2 linked regions of the Caenorhabditis elegans genome follow. The protein of the gene in region 2 purifies or fractionates together with the protein of the main gene of each other region. This does not show direct contact. Each region holds a gene or a part of one and is shown on either strand. Other genes may lie near its edges.

Region 1 (7,032 bases), on a different chromosome or scaffold from region 2:
CAGATCTGAGAAATTGACGCGACGTCGGATAGGAATGCAAAACACTGATTTCCGTCCGATTCTTCATTTGCGCGGAGAAGATGATTGGGTAAGTCAATACTTTTCAATTTTTTAGATTTGAATCGGTTTTCACCAATACTGTTTTCAGCAAAAACAAATCAATGACAACTTCTCGCCCAACCAGTTCATGGATGAGAACGGTATTGTATATGATATGGATCCCACGATCAACGACAGAATTTCCACGTTTTTCAATAGTCAGAGAATCACCAGCAGTAGATTTGGAAGGAAGAAGAGAAGCTTGATGTTCCCGAGACTTTTTGTGTAATCCAACTTAAAACTATCTTGTTCGCATTTTTTTTCATATATCCGTTTCCTTCATTTTTCATAGCGTACTCTCGATTTGACATGTTCTCTCTAGTGATGTGTTACGGGTATTTCCTGATGTACATCTAATCAACATGCTAAGTCAGTCACACTCAAACAAATATACCACCTCTGATCTCATAAAAATGATTTTTCTTTCCATGATGTATTTTTTTTCTTTTTTTAAAATCAAATATACATAATAAATAATCACTTTTTTATTAAGAAAAACTTAAACTTGAATAAATTATTCATATCATATTGAAAAGGTACCAGACCATAAGTCAATGTGAAGAAACTTAAAGAAAAATAAATACTCGAAGAAGTAAGTGACGCAGCGCGATAGAGATGTCAAATGTCAGTCATTATCATCTCGGTCAGATGAGGAACCCGTACATAGAAACAGCATGATGTAGAATAAAAGTTGAAGAAAAGAAGCTAACAGGTAAAAAAAATTTTTTAAAAAACTGATCAAATCAAATGGGCATTTTTTTGGAAGTTTACTTGATGGCATGATGACTAGCCCACAAATCAAACTGCCGACTCATTGCTAATTTTTAAGGAAAACTTTTCATTTCCAGGTTTGGCTTGCTCGGTCAAATTGAAGAACGGAATACTCGAGATGGTGCAAACAAGTTGAACTCCGCAGTCGATATCCTGAAAAAAGGTAATATTAAACGGTTTAGCAAGTCTGAGAAGTAACTGTTTTTTTTTCGAGCGAAGTTTGAGTGAATCTTTTCAAAAATTTTAAAAATTTTGATGGCGGTTTCAAATTTTGCTTGAGATGTACCTAAGTCAACAAAATAGCGTAAGATAACTTACCGAAATTTGCAATATAAAATCATTCAAAGGTACATGGGTTTAGCAGAATAAAATGATAAAAATTTGTTGCCAATCGGCTTTAAATAATGCAGAAATACCAATTTTCGGATTTTATTCGTAATATTTTTTGTTAAAGTGTTTTTGTAATGCTCTTGCAACCCTACCGACCGATCAAGCATTTTTTTTTGAATGCAAAACTACTGGAGGAAATATGGGACATACTACTGCTATGGTGCCAAAAATGCCAAATATAACAGAAAAACGTTTCGAACAAAATTGAATTATTTTTTCAAAAAGTGACAATTACTCAGTTTTGCCACTCATAATGTTGGAAGTAGATTTAAAAAGTTGTTTCTACTATTTTGTTTACTTCAATTTTGTTTTAAACATTTGTGTTCGAACTTTGTAAGTGTCCGAACATGCGAAATTGCTCTACATTTTTTTAATGCTTAGACTTTTCAAAAATTTGGCACTTTGCCAATACGTTGTAAAATTCAAAAAATCTTTAAAAAATTTTGGAGTGTTTAATTATGATATTCGGTCGTTTTAAATGTGTATTTAGCTTCAACATTAACTTTTCAAAATCTTACTGGGTTGTGCGATTTGAGCACTAGATACGTTCCGTGTTGAACTCCAGAGCTCACCGCCTCGTCGCAAATTACCGACCATTTCGATTCCCCGACAATTTCCCGTTGGGGAATACGGTCACTGAAGAAGCGTTGGAGAAATGTTCGATGAGACAACTTGAGTGTTAGGCATCTGAAATTTGAAAGCTTAATCTTTGAATTCTGTTTATTAAAAAAAACGTACCTTTCAATGTGCCTCGTAACTTCTCCTGAAGGATGTCTTGACTGAAGACGAGTAGTTTTTAAATATTTGGTGAGCGGCCGGACAATCCATGTGAATACGTTTTGAGCAGCGGTCAGTGAGTCCATCTGGTTGTTAATTCCAGGCTTTTGGTTCGTTCCGGACTCGGCAGTGTTCTGAACATGGGAGAATGCGTCTTCGGCGGCGGCAATTAGGCGATACCTGTAAAGATTTTATGAGTTTCGAAAAGAGGCCATTTTTAAAAGCTTTGAACCGCCATAATTTTTTTTGAACAATTTTCAGAACTTCTCAATAAAAATTTCCTTAATTTTAGGCCATTTTGTGTCCAAAAAATCATTTCGCTACCTCAACTCTAAAATATAATTCCAACAGTTGTGACAGGGAAAAGTGGACAAAATTTGAAATTATAGCTTTGAAAAAAGTAATATAATATTTAGGAAGTTGAAACAGCCGTTTAAAAAAAGTTTTAAACTTTTTTGAGAAGTTTCATTACAAAATTTGTTCAAAGTATCCAAATCGTTAGTTCTGAATTTGAAAACACTTACTTTCTCTTCTTTAACCGTTTTTCAAAATCAAGTTCTTCCTGCATCACTTCAGCATATCCACCAATCCTTCTTCTCGCCGCGGCTTCCATCAAAGCCCGCGTGTTGACTTCACTAACAGTTTCCTGCCCTCCAAATTGCTCGATATTGTACATCTTGAAGCCTGCGGTGCCTCCTTGCATTCCAGACTGCTTTGCAACCGCCGTCTGTCTGGCGTTGTCAAGGTGAATGTTGAACGAGGAGAATCGAGTTGTGTAGAAACGAAGAATCTCGGTGGCAGCTTCTTGAATTGAGCCAGCGCCAATGTTCAATGTATGCATTTCACCGTCTGGATCGCGAACAATAGTTACAATGAATTGGGCACGTAGACGACGAAGCTCGAGGAGCACAACAGAGAGATAATGTGTCCATAGAAGAGCGTCGAGCAGTGATGTGGAATAGGAAACCTGAAATTATGAATTATGATTTCACAATTTTTTTTCGAAATGATTCATAGTGAAGTCGAACAGTATACCCGCTTCTGAATTTTCGCTACAAATTATGAACTTAAAAAAAATGGTTCAACAAATAAACTGTTGCCTAAAATTTTGTCCACATGATAACACAAGTTTCAACATTTTAAAAGACTAAGTTACAGCGGCCGACACCTCGCGAGCCAATTTTTTTGCCACATCTCATGACTGTAACTCAAGAATGAACAGTTTTCATGAGCAAAGTTTTAGTAACAAATAATCCGCAAATAATTTTATATTGCATGTTATCAATCGTTTTTTCTTACGCAATCGGTAGAATTGAAAATTTCGGTTGAAAATCTGGTCATTTTTTTCAAAAATATTTTTAGGCATTTATTTTAAATAACTAATGTTTACACTTTTATTCACATTTGAACTGAAAGTTTTAGAACAATTTAACCTCCATTTTCAGAAATTGTTCACGATGAGTGCCGGCATTGCTACACCTTTAAAGGGACGTGGCAAAAAAAGGACTTACGAGGTGCCCGATGCTATATCTTTTGATTTCAATGACTTAATTTATTGAAACCTGAGTTATCAAGTAGACAACATTCTAGGTAACAGTTATGTAGTTGAATTTTAATTTTTAGGGTACCTAGCTTGTGCGCTATACTAATTTGAAACTATAAAAAAAGCCAGCAAAAAAATCCCAAAAACGCATATACTTTTGGCCACCACTGTGTTTGAAAAAAAAAACCTACGATGTACTTGTAGTTGTCGTATCTTTCAAACATTATCCTGACAATGTAAAAGAGCCAAAACGCGAACAGGATAAACATGACTAAAAATGTAAGCGCAGCTCGTACAAAGTACAACCTGGGCATGTCTGCCATGGCTTTCCTCCAATAAAGAACTCCAATTGCAATTACCAAAAAGATTGTTTTGATTGCCATTAAAAACAGGAGTCCTTCACAATCGACCTGCAATACATTATATTTTTAATGCGATATAATTGGTTTTCGAAATACTCACGTCACATTGAATTGCCGGCATGCTGAAGCCGAAACGTGGTGCGATTATAGGCAATGAACACATTATCGGCGCACTGACCACCGATATAATGCAAAGTAACGACGAGGCCAACAGCCAGACAAACCTAGAGCACCTGAATTTCAATAGTTATAAAAAGTGAAATTAGAAAAAAAGAACATTTACCGTCTTCCTATGACACGTCCAATTGGTGGGGTATAAATCACTTTTTCTTCCATTGTGAAAGAATCCGTCGTCATTCCAGTGAGCACGGTGGTGTTGTCTGCCCAGTCTTCGTTAGGTGGTGCAATCTTCTGGCCCTGCAAATGAATTATAGATGTACTCAAAAATAGATTTTCCAAAAGTGAAAACGCAAAGCGATAAGATATGTATATCGACTCGGCGTTTATGACATTTTAAATTTTAGATAAGATATTTGGTCGGCTTATATCTTATTTTGACACATCTGAACAAAGAATTTAAGGAGTTTCAGAAACTGAATTAAAAACGAATTTCGTAATAAAACTTCTAAAAAATATTTATGGGAGGTTCAATATTTCGAAAAAAAAGACGAATTTTTTTAAAAAATTCTCAAATTTTGGCCACGTTTCCGTGACACAGCAGTTTTTTTGTTTTTTTTTATTGAATATTTTGGTTGTTTATCTCACGGTATTTCATTTATTTATGTTTTTTAAAAACTTTACCAAATCTCTTCGTTCATCGCCTTTAAAATAATTAAATAAAGTTGAAAACGCAGGATAATTACATTGTATACTCAAAATTTTACGGAAATTTCAAAAAAAAAGATTCCAGCCGCAACGACATTGACGAGTAGGACAAATTTCAAATTTTAACTAATTTCAGGCCTACTTTTTAAGGAACTTTTTAAGCGAATAGATAATCAAAAATTACCTGAATTGGTTACCTACTGGCATAAAAATTGCCTGCTCAAAATGTGAAAAAATTAACCCTTTCTTTAAATTTTAAACCGACTAAAAACATTTTGAACACTGTTGAGAAGTTTCATTACAAAAAAAATGTGTTCATTTTGAGCACATATTGGTACCCAGAGCCGTTACTCCTCATTTAATTGAGTTTCATTTTAAAATGTATCTTCAAAAAAAAGGCTTACCTCACTAGCAATTGCAGAAAACCTCGGTATAAATGGCTCGCCAATTTCAGATTGTGCATATCTTGGTCGTAGTTGCTTCTTGTGTCCTTCATACCGAAAACCTCCAACGCAACTCCTCGTGTCTTTCGGAAGTTTCCTGTTATCTTGATACGACATGTTCCACCTGAAAAAAAAAATCTCTCCAAAAATTTTGATCCATTGAAAAGAATGAGATTTATAACATATTATATTTCATGTAACAAAAAAAATCCGAACGGAACGATAGATTGGCAAAGACAATTTGTGAAAAGAGATAAAACGAGCCCTTCGGGTTGCGCACACGCCGTCATAACATTTTCGTTCCACACACACACACACAACCGCAAGTAAACGATCCATCCACGATCAATGACAAACGAGTGGACGGAAAAGAGGGGACCCCGAAAAGAAAATAACCTCTAACACATTATGCAGCGTCCTCCTCTTTCTCCTTCCACTGCTTGCCCCAGCGCAACCCATTCGGCCAGTGTGTGCGTATGTGTGGTGTGGTCAGAGGCGAGCGGGGAATGGGAAGAGGAATGGTGAGTGAGCGTGCGTGTGTGTGTGTGTGTGTGTCTACTACTATCCGCTAGGCCGCACCAGATGCGGGGCTTTTCGAAAAACGGACCCCCGGACCGGAGCATCTTTCTTGTCACCCCTTGGAGCCGGTTTTCATCTCCCAATGGTCGTCAATTACATGCGACACTCATTGGTGATTTCAAAGAGCGGATTTGGGTAGAAGAAAACCGAAAAGTAAGATTTAGCTGACGGGCTCCTTATTTTGTGACGAAACATGTATCTATTTTAGGTACTTGTGTAATATACCTAGCTCAAAAATATGTTTCAATACGTTTTCCATTCATTTCTTTTAAAAATTACAATTTAAACAAAACGTGAAATTGATTTGTATTCTTAGGTTTAGAAAAACATTAATCCTTATGGACATAGTATAGAACATAATTACGTAAAATTTTCAAAATGATTAATATTTTAAATCCAGGTATACTTTCACAAGTACCGCATTTTAGATAGCTGAGAAAATCATAAAATAAGAAAATATGGCAACCTGGCAAGATATAAAGCTTTAGGACTATTGAAAAAGTTGAATTCTAAACAGCTCGGTACAATAAAATTAGCATCAATCCGTCAAGAGGTGAACGAAAAATGGAAAGACGACAAATCAGGGGTGTGCAGTAACAAAGATGAGTGGGGTGAAAATGGTGTGAGAGGCGAAGGTGTGCGCGCGCAGACACACCACTCCAAAGAACCACAACGGTTACGTAGATAACACAACAGTAGTGCAAATGGTAATTTCATTGGAGCACATTTGCAAGTGTAAGTGAAAATTGGGATCTATGCATCGATTGTTTAGTGTGACAATCGAAAGGTGCTAGAATGCTTCAACCGTAATTTTGTCAACGTTTTGTTGTTCTAATATTTATTTTTTGGTACTTGTGTAGCAGGAGCAAGCGACAAATTTGCCGAATTTGTCAAGTTCACCATTTGCCAAGCTCGGCAAATTTCAAAACAGTATGTTTGGGGAATTTGCCGAGCTCGGCAAATTTCGAAATTTTCCGCACACATCAAAAGTTTGAAAAACAATTTTGACTAAAACTACTGATTTTGACCTCAAAAATTTCAAAAAAATGACACACAAACTCACGGAACTTATGCAGAAACCAGATGTTTTTTCTGAACGCAGTAGTTTTGGTATGGAATAAATTGAAAAAATTCAACAACTCATTTCTAATGTATAACTTTGTTAAATCACAAAGAAACACTTTTTTTTCAAAAATTTTGTTATGTCTCTAATATGAAATATAGCATAAATAGGTATACATTT
Region 2 (6,988 bases):
TTTTCTTTAATTTAGCAAAACTTCCAAAAAAAAAATTAAAGTAGAACTACAGCATTTAAAATTCAAATTAATTTCAATTTTAGTTGTTTGAATGTTGTGGAGTAACAAATTCATCCGATTGGCTCACATTCACAACAATTCCTGATTCATGTTGCATTGAAGAAATCGAGGGATGTGCTCGAGAGAATGCTCCACTCTTTGAGCCCGGATGCATTCACAGTGTCGAACGTTAGTCTTTTTTTTCCAAGAAGATCAAAGTGTGCTCTGTTGCACTTTCTCAATAGAGCATGATTGGGCTTATCGGAAATTTGATTGTTTTTTTAATTGCAGAATGGGTGCTCAAGAATGGAGCAATGGTCGGCGGAATTTGTGCAGTTTTGGCAGCAATTCAATTGGTCGGAGTCTGTTTCGCTTGTTGTCTTTCAAAATCAATTCTCAAGGATTTCCATGACTTTTATTATTAGTTCATAACCATCCGTTTTTCTTTGCAATCCTTATTTTAGGTTCTTTCAATCGCCGTGTCACAAATTAAACAATAATAATAATGTATAATTTATATATGAATATACGATGAAAAAGAAATTGAGGATGAAGAAAAATAAGCAACCGCATAAATAATGAGTAATAAATTCATAACTCTAAATTCGAGACAAAGACTGGGATGAAAGTGGTTTTACCCTGATTGGAGTGCTCAAAGTGTGAAAAAAAGTGTGTGAACCTTGTGCTGGAGCTGGTGACAACAGAACTTAAGAACATGAATAAACGAGATACATGAAAAATGGCAGCGAGAGAACTGATCTACAGTAACCTGAATTGAAGGGGGTTCTTTTTTGACTTTTCTCAAGCTTCTTTCTGCCCTTTTTGTCAGATTTCAATGTAATTCCACTCAAAAATATCATTTTTCACCATCTTTTCCACTCGTTGTCTCTCTTTTGCTATGTAAGAGCGCATCTTTGGGAGCCGGTTCTTAGAAATGTGCTCGTCGCAACTCAAATCAGGAAGCATTGAGAGACAACGAGTAGACGAGGAGAGTGTAGACACAGAGATGGATCATGCTCTGGGGAATGATTCTGTGAGAGGAAGGGGACCGATGGGCGCCGTCCGATGAGCAAGAGAGAGCATAAGAATAAGTCAGAAAAGTTACAAAGAATGAAGAAAAAGAAACATTTGAGTTGGTTGGGAAAAAAGTGAGAAAAGGAATGAGAATACATATAAATAGGATAAAATGACAAGAAGAGACTATCACCTCATATTAACCTGATCAACATGAGCAGGTACAGTAGGTGACCTCGAAGAGAGTGCCAGGTAAGCCTTGTGATAACTTGAAAGAGTTTTTGAAGAGACAACCCAAATGGCACAGGTTATACCAACAACCAATTGAGACACATATCTGAAAATAAGAACATTTAGGGGTTTCGAATCAAGATAAATAATTCATATTAACTAGACGCGAAATTATGCAGTCTCGGCACGATCCAATTTTGTCGAATATGCGCCTTTAAAGAGTACTGTAACTTCGAAGTCGCGTTGCTGCGGAATTTACATCGATTTTTCATGAATAGTTTTTCTTATGTTAGGCTTTTTGTGTTTGAATTGCTTAATATTTAAATAAGAATATTTTTTATCAAGAAGCGATGAAAATTCTGCAGCAACAAGAGTTTGAAACTACAGTATTCTTTAAAGGCGTATACATTTTTGCATTTAACAAACATTCGTCTTGTCGAAACCGGATGTCGCATTTTTGGCGCAAAAATCAGAAAATCAAATTTAGATTATACAGATTGAAATTTAACTGATTCACAGTTTCAAACTAACTTTAAAAGAAAAACAATAATCTCCGGAGCTGCAACTTTCGGATCCATCGGACAATCATCAACTGGATACGTGAAACCGAATAATTCTCGATCTTGAAGTCGAACACATCGATGATGAAGCCATCCTTCAAGCCAGGCAGGCATATTTACTGCCTGATACCACATAATTGCAGCATTCATTGCAGTTGGTAGAGAGTACATTATGGCGAAGGCACCGATTCTGAAAATATAATATTTGTATGATAATATGAAACGAATATCAGAAAAGCGATTCTTAAGTTTTTCTTATTTTGTTCGGTTCTTAGGAAATCCAATTTTTTCGTTTTTTTTTTCTGAAATTTTGGAATTTTAAATAAAAAATGATTTCCAGGGAATTCTCGGGTTTTAGAATAATTTATCAACTTTCCAAACTGAAATCAATATATCTACATCAGTAAACCTAGTTTGCTCGTCTTTTTCTGTACATGTTTTTCCAATTTTTCGTTTTCCAAAAATCGAAAGTATTTCTTTTCTGATTAAAAAAGCTCAGGTACTTTTGAAGATTTTCAAAAATTTGAAATATCGAACCTCAACATTAATTTCTCCAATTTACTGATATTCCTCTCAACATCGGCGTGTTGAAGTTTAATATAACTTCGAATACGGATCATTGACCAAATTCCACAAACGAGTAAAACTGCTCCGAGTGCTGCAAATAGAACATTTCTGAGAAGAAAACGAAGATAAATAACGATGGAACACACAACGAAACGAATTCAATTTCGGTCTTCCCCCACCATAATATTCACAAAAAAACTAACCCAACGATACAACGATCGGAGTGAAAAAGAAATAGACGAGAGCAGAGGGATTCAAATTTCCAACTGAACAGATTCCAGTAAATACATCTCCATCGACAGAATTTGTCACTAGTACAGTAACCGAGAGAACTGCTGGAACTCCCCAGCACATTGCGTGGAAGTATGGTGACAGAGCAGCAATTGATTCAGCTCCCCATTTCAGATTTGCCGCCAGGAACCAGGCTAGACACAGTACAAGCCACCTGAAAGAATACTTAGTATATAAAATATCATTTTAAAAAGGCTGATAGCTGTTTAAATCAAGATTAAAAATTTGGGTGTCGATTTTCGATTTTTCAATGAAAACAAAAATTTTCGATTTTTGTTTTTTTTTTGTTTGAAGAAAAAATACATTTTTTTCATGAACAAAATTTGATAAAAATTGAATTTTTTTTTTGATTTTCCGATTTTCCGGAAACGGGGTTTTTTTCATTTAAAATTTGGTTTAAAAAAAATATTTTTTAGATTTTTGTTACTGAAAATTGTCGAAAATCATAAATGTAATTTTTTTCTGAAAAATTACACTCGAAATTATAAAAATTAAAATTTTTATCAAAATATTCAAAAAGTTCTTTAAAAAAAAAATGTTTCAGTTGTCGTTTTTTTGTTGAAAAATGTGTTTGAACAAAAGAAAAACATGCCGATTTTTTTTCGAATGCACATTTTCAAAACCAGTTTTCTATTTGTGGTACAAAAAACGGTACTTTTTTCGTTAAAATACAAAAATTAACGAAAAAACTCACCACGCACAACTTGACATGAAGAAAAAGTAATGAACAACAGCAAGAGCACTACATCCAACATTTTCTCCTCCTTGCGTAACAAGTGTTGTTGGAGTAGATCCATACGTTCCACAAGCGAATCCATCTTCACCGACTACGCCTGTAGAAATACATTTTTAGTTTCTAAAAAATCTGATTTAAAAAAAACAGAAAATTCAACTCACCTATCATATAAACCGTAGAAATTGCTAGATAACAGAACGCGAGATACAAAATCGGTCGAACTGGATACGCGAATCGTGATAAATCAACAAGAAATGTGACAAGAGTGAATAAAGAGCACACGAAACATGCCACAGACCATGCTGCTGTCCAGATTCGAAGAATTCGTCGAACACGTCCATCAAACATCATTGGTACTTGATTGTCAGCTTCACATGTTAATGAACATTCAGGAAGGCGTCCACTGAGAAGAGGCAATGAAAAATGAGATCCGCTTGTTGTATGCATATGATGAGGGCATTTTTTTGGAGAAAGGACAACTTCGTTGGCAATTGTTGAAACACCGAATGTGACGTCATTACTACTTCTGTAACTTGAAATATTTTATATTTCGATCTACGGAAACTTGTTTTATTGTTCGATAAAACAAAGAATTTAGAAATCTCGATGTACATTTTTTTCGGAAAATTTCTAAATTCAAAAACTTTGATAAAAAACTATTTGACGCTTTGGAGTAGGAGTTTTTATGGGGCTCAAAAATTCGGAATAATACTTAAATTCAGCCAAACTTGTCAGTATCACAGCGGCCGTAAATTTAATTTTCAGAGAGCTTTTTTTTTTTGAAAACTCTTACGAGGTTCGGTCTTTGCAGGCCATTCTGAATTTATTATTATTTTTCTTTAAATGCAAAACCGATGATTTTAACTGAATTTACAATTTAATTTCTCGCTGTATTTAAAAAAAGGATTCTAGAACGGTTCCCGTAAATTTAAACTTTAATTCATGTTTTGGGTACTTTTGAAATTTTTGTTGTAAATATATATCAATTATAAATTCTTATTCATAAAATTATGCAGAAAACCCACTTTTTAGAGTTGCTCGACTCGCTGGAATTCTTGCCAACACACAAATCAGTTACTGGGAATTTGTTACAATCCAATTGATCTGGCCATTGAAATCCAAACTTTTTCATTAATGACTCGCATCCATTTTTTGCAGATAAACACAATTCTCGACATGGTTGAATTGGTTTTTCGAGTACTGTACAGACAGGTGCATAGACAGTACAAAGAAAGAGACGAATATCTTCTGAGCATTTAACTTTAATTAATGGATTGAATTGCGCAATTGCTGGACCAGCTTCAGATTGTGTTGTATGTCCGAGAAGATTTGGAAATACTGTTTGATTGTAATCCAGATTTTTGCACATTGGAATTGTAATATGTTCACATTTTCGAGTTGTTGAGAATCCATTCATCGATGAAATTGAAGTTGATGAGAGTCGTTGATCAGCTGATAAGCATCCGAATAAAAATAATATCAGAATATGTCGATGCATTGTAATTGATAGTTTTGAAGAGATTTCAGATTGACAAGTGTTAGTTCATAGCAGGATTCGTCTGAAAATATAAAAAATTATTAAAGAAATAGTTTTTTTGGTTATATGTATAGAAGAAGTTCAACATTATTTAGTTAATAGTTTGTGAAATGGAGAGAACAAAATTCTAGAAAAATGATTTTTGGCAAAATTTGGAAAAAAAACCGAACTTAAGTAAATAGCTAAAATCTTTTTCAGAAAAAATCGAAAAAAAATGTTTAGAAAATTAACAAAAAGTGAAATTTTTAATGAGTTGTTGATGTGGATAAACATTTTCAAAAAATTCTTCTAAACGGAGGAAAATGGCCAACAATTTTAGATATTTTACGAAAAATCTTTTTTTTTCTCGAAATATCAGAAAACCAACACAAATACTTTCCGGCAGTTGGCAAAGATGACACATTAAAAATTTTGGCTAAATTTAGGGATTTCTCTTCGAAACATTTTCTATAAACATTTTTTGGAAGGTTTTATTGGAATTCAAAATAGAAGACTCGGTCCATAAATTGACCTTCAATTGATGAGAAAACATTGAATTTTCAAAAAAAGTGAAATGGTGTAATGTTGACATTGGTTCCAAGTGCTAAATCGAATCAATGAATCGTGAAATTATAGTGAGAAACGTGGCAAAGAAAGACAAAGAATAGTAGATTTCGGTATCTAAGTGAATCTAATCTTTAGATTACTGTACAACATGCCTCTAATCTCTTTTTTGTAATACTCTCTCGTTACGCAACTTCCGAGAGAACGGAGCACACACACACAGTAAAGAATAATTACGGCTCGGAATTCGAGAGTAATTAATGATGATGATGAGCACTGACCTAATGAAAAGATCGAAAAAGAGTGAAGAGACACAGGCCACCTGCTGCTCGAGTGTCAAATGGGCAATGAACATGCAAACGGATGAGGGAGGAAGGATTCAAGAATTTTCAAACAGTGATTCATTTCGAAAATATTCTTGTTATTGTTTGGAGAGAATTGAGGAAAATATAGATGAGAATCGAATTGAGAAAAACGGGGACGATCGATCTGTAGAAGAGATAAGAGCAATGACCTAACTGGTAGAATTTTTTGGCATTTCGGAAATTAGTTTTTAGTTTTTAAATATTTAAGTTGAAGAAAGCAAAGAAAACATTTAAAACAAATTGTCTGAAATCAACGATATTCTTAAGCAAAAGGACGCAAAATATTGCACCAAAAATACGGTACCAGGTCTCGACACGATAAAGTTTTGTTTGCGCCTTCAAGGAGTACTGTAACTCGCATTGCTGCGGATTGTTTTGATTTTATATAGGTAAATTCATGGATTTTCATTGTTTTAATCAAGTTATTTAATAAATCAATATTTTCTATCGGAAAACTATAAAAAATCGATGGAAATTCCGCAGCAAAGTTTAAAGTTACAGTACTCTGTCAAGGCGCACAGCTTTCTACATTTATCAAAAATTTGGCGCGTCGAGAGGTACCGTATTTTTTGCTAAAAATCGCAGAATCGAGCCTGAAAATTATATAAATAATTTAATTGTTTTCGAAATTCAAAAAAAGATGCCAGAAATTTAATATCGACGAACTCGAGGAGCACATAAACATATTATTTGAACTTTTGAATAAACTTTTCCAACATCCGAACTGGGAGGCCGAGTTTCGCAATGTGAAGAGCCAACATACACGTCTCGTGCCGGAGATGGGTGTCAAATTCAATTCCCGAATCAAATCAAATGAACAAATAGGCCCGTCGTTTCGATGAAAAAGAACTGACGAGAGCAACACAACTGGGAGCTTGTGACCAGAAGAAAATGGAGCAAACGAGTGATTTGTGATTGATAACGGAAATGAAAAATGGACGCGGAATTGGAAATAGTGGAAAAGAAGAAGAGGTTCAGACAAGATGGTGATAAGAAGGGGGAATGCGAAAATGTTCGCGATGGGAGCAATTTGGATGATTTCTCGTTTCAATATCAGGTAGTTTTTGATGGTTGTAAAAAAATGAAGTAAACGTAGCCAAGAAGA

Evidence for each region. Proteins that work in one complex are often made in the same cells at the same time.
Region 1: the proteins of mom-5 (region 2) and vang-1 purify together in Caenorhabditis elegans (affinity purification with western blotting, with the first as the bait; one study listed by BioGRID). This does not show direct contact.

The regions. Positions count from the first base shown.
Region 1 is NC_003284.9:2,884,167-2,891,198, reverse strand, and holds vang-1 (Vang-like protein), read right to left. Parts: upstream 5,342-7,032; 5' UTR 5,328-5,341; coding exon 5,172-5,327; intron 4,360-5,171; coding exon 4,226-4,359; intron 4,176-4,225; coding exon 4,043-4,175; intron 3,991-4,042; coding exon 3,772-3,990; intron 3,005-3,771; coding exon 2,562-3,004; intron 2,218-2,561; coding exon 1,999-2,217; intron 1,948-1,998; coding exon 1,779-1,947; intron 1,024-1,778; coding exon 898-1,023; 3' UTR 518-897; downstream 1-517. Other genes in the region: B0410.3 (Neuropeptide-Like Protein), read left to right, coding at 1-88, 149-328.
Region 2 is NC_003279.8:9,963,589-9,970,576, reverse strand, and holds mom-5 (Protein mom-5), read right to left. Parts: upstream 4,998-6,988; 5' UTR 4,937-4,997; coding exon 4,464-4,936; intron 3,971-4,463; coding exon 3,600-3,970; intron 3,536-3,599; coding exon 3,397-3,535; intron 2,857-3,396; coding exon 2,615-2,856; intron 2,503-2,614; coding exon 2,382-2,502; intron 2,035-2,381; coding exon 1,816-2,034; intron 1,391-1,815; coding exon 1,243-1,390; 3' UTR 540-1,242; downstream 1-539. Other genes in the region: tsp-7 (Tetraspanin), read left to right, coding at 84-228, 331-464. UniProt on the Caenorhabditis elegans protein: Receptor for Wnt proteins.